Nothobranchius furzeri: one gene and its partner. The protein of the gene in region 1 interacts with the protein of each later gene in a biochemical or structural test. Links are inferred from orthologs where the notes say so. Each region holds a gene or a part of one and is shown in the gene's direction. Other genes may lie near its edges.

Region 1 (4,433 bases):
AAGGCTAGTACCAAAGCACTGAAACGGGTATATGTAGCAATGATCAGATCGGTTATTGATTATGGTAGTATTGTATATAGTTCCGCAGGTAAAACATTCCTGAAGAAGATTGAAGTTATTCAAAGTCAGGCTTTGAGAATTTGTTGTGGAGCAATGAAAACCACACCGATAGTGTCTTACAAGTGGAAATGGGAGAGATGCCATTGACTCTTAAGTTACTGAAATTAAATTATTGGGCTAGTGTTCAAGGTAGTGAAGAGGATGAGCATATGGTTACGGGAGAGATGAAAGTAGGAGGGCAATGTTTGTATGGCAAGTATGAGAGTATGGTCTGGAAATCGTATAAATTGGCGGAAGCCTTTAAATTAAATGATAAAGTTGTTATTAAGAAATGTCTATATTCGCCTACTCCGTTTTGGTTATTTCCAAAAGTAATAATAGATTTTCATATTCAAAATGAAATTAAAATACGGAAAGGTGTGGGAAACTGGGATGATGTTGTGGAAGAAAGGTTAAATGACACATCAAGCATTCATCCCTATTTATACTGACGGGTCGAGAGAGTCAGGAAATATAACGGGATTTTCTTTCTGGATTCCAAAATTAGGTATATATCATAAAAGTTGAACATCTAATAATCTGTCAGTATATACAGTGGAAATGTTAGCCATTTCATTTAGTTTCCAGTGGATAGAACAAAATGGTGTTGGGAATAGTATTATTTGCTCGGACTCCATGTCTGTATTGTTATCAATTAAAGAAATGTCAGCTGATAAGAGGTCAGATATTTTGTATGAGATATTTGAGTGCTTGTTTAGGTTGATGAAGACTAATTCAGAGGTTAGATTTATGTGGGTTCCAGCCCACAGTGGAGTAGAGGGTAATGAAAAGGCTGATTATCATGCAAAGCAGGCAAGAAAACTGGATACTATGATGGAGGTTCTATATAGTGTTGCAGAGGTGAAATCAGTTATTAGACAGCAGATTCTGGATGAATGGCAAGAACAATGGATAAGGGATGTGAAAGGAAGACATTTATACAAATTAAAGGGAAAGGTTGGAAGAATGGAAGTCATTCCAATGAGTAACAGAAATCAAGCAGTGATAACAAGGATGAGAATGGGACATACAGCTTTGAACAGTACGCTTTTTATTCTTGGACGGCATAATACCGGTATGTGTGAATGTGGACGTGATAGGGAAACAGTAGAACATGCATTATGTACTTGTAGAAAATATGTGGGGAATAGGAAAATGTTAGTTGAAAAATTAAAAGTTAAAGGATATAAGAAATATGATTTGAATATTCTGTTAAATGGGGACTAGTGGTTTATAAGTTAGTCACAGACTTTTAAGGAAAAGTGGAATACTTAATAGAATTTAGTTTTTTTTTTGTAGGATACTCCCCACTTCAACTCACACTCCCATTCAGTAGGTGGCGGACATGCACCTGAGAGTTGGTTGCCACCCACCAATTAAACGACAAAAGAGGAAGAAGGTTGAAGGAGGCGGTGTGTGTTTGTTGGGGAAGTGGAGTGAGAGAGTTTATTCGTTTCGTTTAGTTGTTCTTAAACAATACATGCATACATTAGATTAACGTTTTAATATTCTGAAATTTTGCGCCCTGTCCGGCAAATAGCGCCTGCAGGCGAGGCGCTGCTCATCTCGAACAAGCCTGTGTACGGCAGGAGGACTGGTCACTCGAGTTCATGTTCGAAAAGGGAGGCGGAGTCAAACATGGCTGACGAAATATTGGTGATAAACACAGCTGTTGAGGACCACGAAGAAAACCAACACTTAGATGGGGCTGAAGTTTCAGGTCCGGCGGCTCACGGCAGCAACGGTGGGAACTCTGGCGAGAACACGACTCCGTCTGCGGAGGAGAGCAGCTGGTCAGCTCCTATCTTGTCTCTGGCTAGGAAGGCCACGGAGACGATTAGCAGTGGGATGAGCTACGCTACTGCCCCTAGAAAATCATCTCAGGGGTCCGCTACAGGTTCTCCATCGAAGAAAGGGTCCGAAAACTACCTGAACCACTCATCTTTAAACCATACGGGTATGACTCTTTAAATAACAATGAGATCCGACTAAACTAAGTTTCAGTGAGCAGTTACTTCCTCTTGCACTATAGTCAGCTGTCTAAAAACATGACACATACATAGGTGTGTGTGTGTGTGTGTGTGTGTGTGTGTGTGTTTGTGTGTGTGTGTGTGCGTATATATATATATATATATATATATATATATATATATATATACACACACACAGATGTGTGTATATATACATAGATGCGTGTATATACACATGTATATGTTTATATATACACGTATATGTGTATATATACACGTATACATGTGTATATACACATATATATACATGTGTGTATGTATATATATATATATATATACATGTGTGTATGTATATATATATATATATATATATATATATATATATATATATATATAGTGTATTAGGGTTGTCACGGTGTGAAAATTTAACCTCATGGTTGATGTGACCAAAATTATCACGGTTTTCGGTGTGATTGCGGTATTTTTTAAACAGTGTTGCATATGTTCAGAAAGCATTGATAGTCCTGTTCTACACAAACTGAAATAGCTTTGAAAAGGTTTAACAGTGTTTATTAAAGCTAAAATAACACAAAGCCTTAGCAAAAGTGCAACTTTTCACAAGTAAAGGAACAAATAGCTTATTTTTCTGGAACATGTTACAGTAGTCAGTGCAGGTTTAAATTATACAAATCCAAACATTCAAAACATAAACAATATGTAAACAAATCAAAGAAACACCACTTGTCTTCTCATATGCTTGTTTTCTTCATTATCAAAATAAGAATCTAAGGCCCTGTCCACACGTAGCCGGGATCTGCCAAAACGTAGATATTTTTCTACGTTTTGGCCTGTCATCCACACGAAAACGGATCTTTATAAAAACTCCGGCCAAAGTGAAGATCTGCGTTTTCTCCGTTTTGGGTGTCTGCGTGTGGACAGACAAAACCGGAGTTTTAAGGTCTGCAACGTCACTCTCCACGACAAAAAAATGATGACGTCACGTGTGCGACCTGTGTTTACACTAGCCAACAGCATGGAAGCCTTCAGAGCTGCACTCGCTTTATCAATTGTCCAAGTGCTTTTTGCTTGTTTGTTATTGCAAGCGGAATTACTGCTCCTTGCGGAAGACCACAGACGAAGGATGAGGTTAAGAACGGGGGAGGTACTGCCGCCTACAGGTCTGGCATGTCCTAAACAACATATTTATCCGGGTACGTGTGGACAGAGTTTTTTTTTTTAAAACGTGGTGGTGTGGATGCAAGTTTTTGGAGGGGCGGATATTCGTTTTTAAAAAACCCTGGCTACGTGTAGACTAGGCCTAAAACTCCAGTCCACACTTGACGTGAGCACTGTACAAGTCAACCTTAAAAAAATATGTGTTTAAAATAAATAGCCACTTTAAACAAATTACTAAAATAACTACTACACTATGTAATCAAATCCAAATGTTCAAGTATAAATGGCATTGAAAAAAAGTAAACAAGTCAATGGCTAGGAAGTAATTGTATATTTCTCTTCATCATCAACAAATAAGATGCTTCATCCAGCATCATGACTGTCAGCAAGCATGACCATTTATTTCAGGTTGAAATGCAAAAATGTCAACATATTAACCTTGTCTGGTTTAAGATGTGATCTAAGAGAGGAAAGAATATACCCGCTGGCACTGAATATTCCCTCTGATGGAACACTAGTTGCTGGAATACACAAAAGCTTTTTTGCCTGCCTGGTAAGATGAGGCAGCTCTGATGCATGGCCCCTCCACCACACCAGTGGATCATCATCAGCTAGAATGGATGGCAGAGACATGTAGACTTTGACTTCCTCCTTCACTTTATCTTCTGGGGTGGCTGGACCTGAACCCTCTTCAGATCGCTGCTGCCTTGTTGAGGTAATCTTTTTTAGTAACTCAGCAAGGCCTTTCCCTCCTGCTGCTGCTGTAGAGTTACTGCTGGTGCTTTGTGGTTCCTGCGTGACGTACAGGGGTCAGCTTCAAGGCCTCCTGAAAACAGCGGTCAACTACATCATCCACAGGGGCATCTAAGAAGTTATTCTTGAACCTGGGGTCAATGAAACAAGCCATCTGCATGACATCTTTTGCTCTCTCTGTGTACCGGTTGTGTAGGTATTCTCTCATTGCCCGTTTCGTCTGCTTGGTCAGGGCTGGCTCCTCTTCATTTTCCTCCAGGACATCACCAGTGATGTGGTCAAGGACTGGCTTAATGGCTGATAAAGTTACTCGTGTCTCTGAGTAAAGTGCATCTGTAAACTTGCTCGGTGGTTCAAGGAGCTGGCAGACTTGCTCCATGACAACTATGTCAGTGTCCTTGGGCATCAGATGCATAGCTCCTCTTTCTGCAGCCA
Region 2 (4,559 bases), on another chromosome or scaffold:
ACATTCTAGAGTACAACACCTGGGAAAGTTTGACAAGTAAAGTGTGTTTTAAATTTAACAATATTGTGTAAAACATGACGGTAAAAACTAGATTAAAGCACCCTCTTACCCAAGCTCTTGATTGAAGGTATCGCAACTTCGAGAGCTGTCCCCCGAACCCATTCTCCTTCTCTTAGGTTGGCTGCCATCATTGGACACTTCCTCTATTACATCCTCCTAAAAACAGGAAAAAAGCTCTTCATTAAAATAAAAAAAAAAAACATGCTGAATGTTTTTATCTTTATCAAAAGTTCTAATTTATTTCAACTTTTGCTGCTTTTTACACATTTTCTGCCCAGTCATGTAACAGCAGAATAAGAGGTGATTAAATATTTAAAAAATTGTCAGGTTTCAAGAGATGTATACATCAGGTAAACTATTCCTGAAAGTCACAGTGCTTAAGAAATATAAATCTATCCTGGAAAAACCTGACAAAGGACCATGAAAGTAGTTGTTTACAAAAGACTTGAGTGTTTCCTCTGTACCCAAATCAGTGAAAATGAATGGAGGGCAACCAAAACCTGAAATGCAATACAGCTGCATCATCAACTTTAGAGGCATTAACCTCTAGAATAATAGGGTTCAAACCCTCTGGCTTGAGCATCACTTCTAAAAAATGAAAGTTTATAGAAACTACTGTACATATTAGACAAGACCATTTCCCTGACAAGGTAGGATTAAAAGACTCGTGTGTTGTTTGCCAGTTCAGGGTTACTTCATACATTTTTTATTTTAAATGAGCCACTGCAAAACATGATTTATGAGTGATATAATAATTCATTACCTGTAAACAACTCACGTGTACAAAACGTGTTATTTTAGGAAAAACAAGTATAAGTTTCATTAGATATAAAATAAAAGTAGAACTTAAAATAGAGAAATTAGCAAATAATGCATTTTGAGGTTACGTTTCGTTTTTATACGAGTCAAATTACACAGGCGACTTTTCAACAACTGAAAGGTAAATTGAATAAACTGAGCACACATGAAAACAAAGAATGGACGCTAATACGGCTAACGGGGTCATTCGTGGACACAGGCTGAAGCATGAAGCAGTTTAAGGAGTGTGAATGTCACCTTTAAAGATTGCGCTCCTGGGGTGGCAGGATTACTATCGCAAGGTGGTCTAATGGGGAGCACAGTAGCCATATTTCGACAAAATAATGTTCCGCAGCTAGGCTAGTTCACTAGCTTGAGTCTGCGTTTCTTCTTCTATGGTAAAGCCTTCGGTTTAGAAAGCGAACTCTCCTGGCCTGGATCGGTGATAGAGGTGAAAAACGTTTTACTTTTAAATACCAAATATTCCGATCATGTATTAAAATCATGTGAAATCGGTTTTGGTCCTTTAACGCAAGGTTATCACAGCAGAACAATTTTTAAAATAGTTGTCTAGCTGCAGTCAGCCAATCACAGTGACCACTACTGCCGCCTACTGGTCAATACTTGCACGTATAATCCTTCAAGTTGACAACAATAATAAGTAATATATCTGGTCACTAATTATTACAATGTGGATGTTTCTTATTTGTGATTATTTTTTACATCTATAATAAATCATGATTTTAACGTTTCTGGAGACTTAATAACAGCTCCATAGTGAGGCGAAAACTATATAGTGCATCACAGTGTCGGTCATGGAAGGACTTTTACTTTGAAAGGAAGAACCTACGGGAAGTCGGAAGGAAAAATCAGCTGGAATGCACGGAAATTATCACTGGTGTATTCCTTTACTGAGCTAGCTGTGCATCTGTCAACTTTTATTCCTCCCTTCATTTTGCTTTTGGAATCAAACCGCCACATTGGCGATGTCGGAGTCTTACGGTAAGGAGTCTGCTTTAAACCGAGGCAACAGTTAACGGGTGCCTTCTGGTAGTCAGTGGTAAAGACGAGGCAGGTGTGCCCAGAAGGCGTTTTCTCATCGCAAAAAGATAGCCGACAGGCTAACCGTTTCACCACTCAAGGCTTCTGGCCTTAAAGCAGAGCTGTCAGTCAACTCAGATCATACATCTGGGTTTGATGTAGCTTTTCACACTGAATGTAACGGAGCTTTTGGGATTCTAATCAGAAGAACCGCTAGATACCAGGTAGGGGTAAAGAGGAGGACAGGGCTGGCATAAATTTGAGGCTGAACTGTTCAACTTTTTAAATAAATAACCATTTAATGCTCTCTTTATGTGTATATTTTACATTTGGATCATTCTAAATCTCACAGTAAAATATTATTGCAGCATACAAAATGAGTTGTTTACACCATAAACACAATGAACAAACCTGTGGTTAGTAAGCAGGTGTCCCTGCCTTTATAAACAAACCATCAGGTATTCATGTGTAATATATATCAGCTGGTTTATATCTCAGTTATAAAATAATCTTGATTCAAATAAGATTAGGATTAAGATGAGCTAGTGCCTATGAATGCCACATTAAGAGGGTCAAGCTGAGCTTATGTCTATTAAATGATTGTATTGTTCCCCTTGTAGATTTCCTGTTTAAATTCCTGGTAATTGGGAATGCTGGGACAGGAAAATCCTGTCTGCTGCACCAGTTCATAGAGAAAAGATGTAAGTTCTCTATTATTTCCACTTCTTTCACATTTTTTTTTTTGTGATTGATCATCTAAATGCCTGGCTAATTATTCAGGTTGATCATTTATTGTTTTGAGAAAAATCCACATTGGCTGTGTTTTATTTAGTGTTGGTGTAGTTTGTATGGAACAGTGGTTTTGATTTCTAAATTTAGATTTAATTTGCATTAGGCGGACTACACACTCACTCACGCACACATACTGTACAACAGGTCTGCTCGTGTAAAGTGACTAACATTGCATAACAGTACTTAAATGTCTGTTACATTTCTGAACATTTAGAATAAATCTCACACATTTGACACTTGTACAGAATAATTCTCTAGTTTTGTTTCTAATCCTGATTTATACATCCATTTTTTTCATCTATCCATTTATTGTTTCCAGTTAAAGATGAATCCAACCACACGATCGGAGTGGAGTTTGGCTCTAAGATCATCAGTGTGGTCAACAAAACAGTCAAACTGCAGATCTGGGACACAGCAGGACAAGAACGCTTTAGGTAGGGCAAAATCCCATCATTACTACATGTGGTATTTCATTTTTATAACAACTTCTGTACAAAATTAACCTTTTTTTGAATTGCTGATATCTTAAGTGAAGTATGTAGCATTTTTGTCTCGTTTGTGCATTGCTGGTGGCAAATTTAGCTCTACGGAAACTGTGTGTGTCTCAGGTCTGTGACCAGGAGCTACTACAGAGGCGCAGCGGGGGCCCTGCTTGTCTACGACATCACCAGGTATCACAGAACTCGGCTTTAGTTGTTGGTTTTCTAACTGTGCTCCAGACTTTAATCCGTGTCTGTCGCCGGCTGCAGTCGTGAAACGTACAACGCTCTGACCACGTGGCTGAGCGATGCCAGGATGTTAGCCAGTCAAAACATTGTCATCATCCTCTGCGGCAACAAGAAGGACCTGGATGCTGACAGGGAGGTCACGTTCCTGGAGGCGTCGCGCTTCGCTCAGGAGAACGGTGAGATCCACCAGAAGCGCCTCTGTTTCTTTGCCTTTTTCGAGCCACACACTGATTGTTTTTTTCTACAAAGAACTGTCAGTTGCTTCTGCTCTAATCAAAACATGTCTGTTAGAGCTGATGTTCCTGGAGACCAGCGCTCTCACGGGGGAGAACGTTGAAGAGGCTTTTGTCCAGTGCGCTCGGAAGATCCTCAACAAGATAGAATCAGGTAGGAGCTTGCTTAATAACCCTAAAAAGCTATTCCAGATCCCCTTTAGGTGCTCATCTGTTCACTGATCATATCTCGGGTTTTAGGAGAATTGGACCCAGAAAGGATGGGGTCAGGTATCCAGTATGGCGACGCCGCGTTACGACAGCTTCGTTCTCCTCGCCGCGCTCAGCCACAGGGCACACAGGAGTGTGGCTGCTAAGGGGCCTCGTGCATCTCACGCAGTCAAGGTACAGGAAAAAAATGTGAAGCGTTGGATGGTTTAGAGCCGTGCTCGATGGTCTCAGCAACATCTCTGACGTGATGTTTTTGTTACATAACAGAAACATCAAAAGTTGCATCTTTTATTGAAAAGTATTTGCTTTTTTATTATGTTGCTTTAAATTTCTTTATGTAATGACAGGGTTTTTTTTTTTTTTGAAGAGAAGAAGAAGAAGGACCATGGAGGACCAGACAGTGTTGGGTTCAGGTTGCTGTGCTGGTGACCCCTCCCTGACCTTTGCACGGACCCTTCAGAGCCTTTGTTATCACGTGTGCATGAGCAGAGAGCCGAGAAGACCTACGCCCAACTTCACAAGAACTTGAATCTCCATGGTAACCACAAACTCATCCGTCTCTGGCTCTACTGGACCACATTGTCCCTGACCAGGATGCCTAACCCTAGCCTGCATTATTATTATTATTACTACTTCTGTAATAGTTGTTCCTGTTTGTTTTCCAGACTCACGGGAAGTATCTACATTTGAGTTTGGA

Evidence for each region.
Region 2: the proteins of rufy1 (region 1) and rab4a form a complex in vitro, tested with the Homo sapiens proteins (2 studies listed by BioGRID). The link is inferred for Nothobranchius furzeri from reciprocal best matches to the Homo sapiens genes RUFY1 and RAB4A.

Annotation. Positions count from the first base shown.
Region 1 is NC_091741.1:103,293,758-103,298,190, forward strand, and holds the start of rufy1 (RUN and FYVE domain-containing protein 1), read left to right. Parts: upstream 1-1,506; 5' UTR 1,507-1,737; coding exon 1,738-2,056; intron 2,057-4,433. UniProt on the Homo sapiens protein: Activating adapter involved in cargo sorting from early/recycling endosomes. Regulates retrieval of proteins from endosomes to the trans-Golgi network through interaction with the dynein-dynactin complex.
Region 2 is NC_091749.1:34,752,449-34,757,007, forward strand, and holds the start of rab4a (ras-related protein Rab-4A), read left to right. Parts: upstream 1-1,708; 5' UTR 1,709-1,844; coding exon 1,845-1,860; intron 1,861-2,519; coding exon 2,520-2,600; intron 2,601-3,010; coding exon 3,011-3,125; intron 3,126-3,299; coding exon 3,300-3,362; intron 3,363-3,440; coding exon 3,441-3,595; intron 3,596-3,710; coding exon 3,711-3,806; intron 3,807-3,892; coding exon 3,893-4,008; 3' UTR 4,009-4,036; intron 4,037-4,209; exon of another isoform or gene 4,210-4,229; 3' UTR 4,230-4,559. Other genes in the region: phf10 (PHD finger protein 10), read right to left, coding at 110-216, 1,117-1,188. UniProt on the Homo sapiens protein: The small GTPases Rab are key regulators of intracellular membrane trafficking, from the formation of transport vesicles to their fusion with membranes.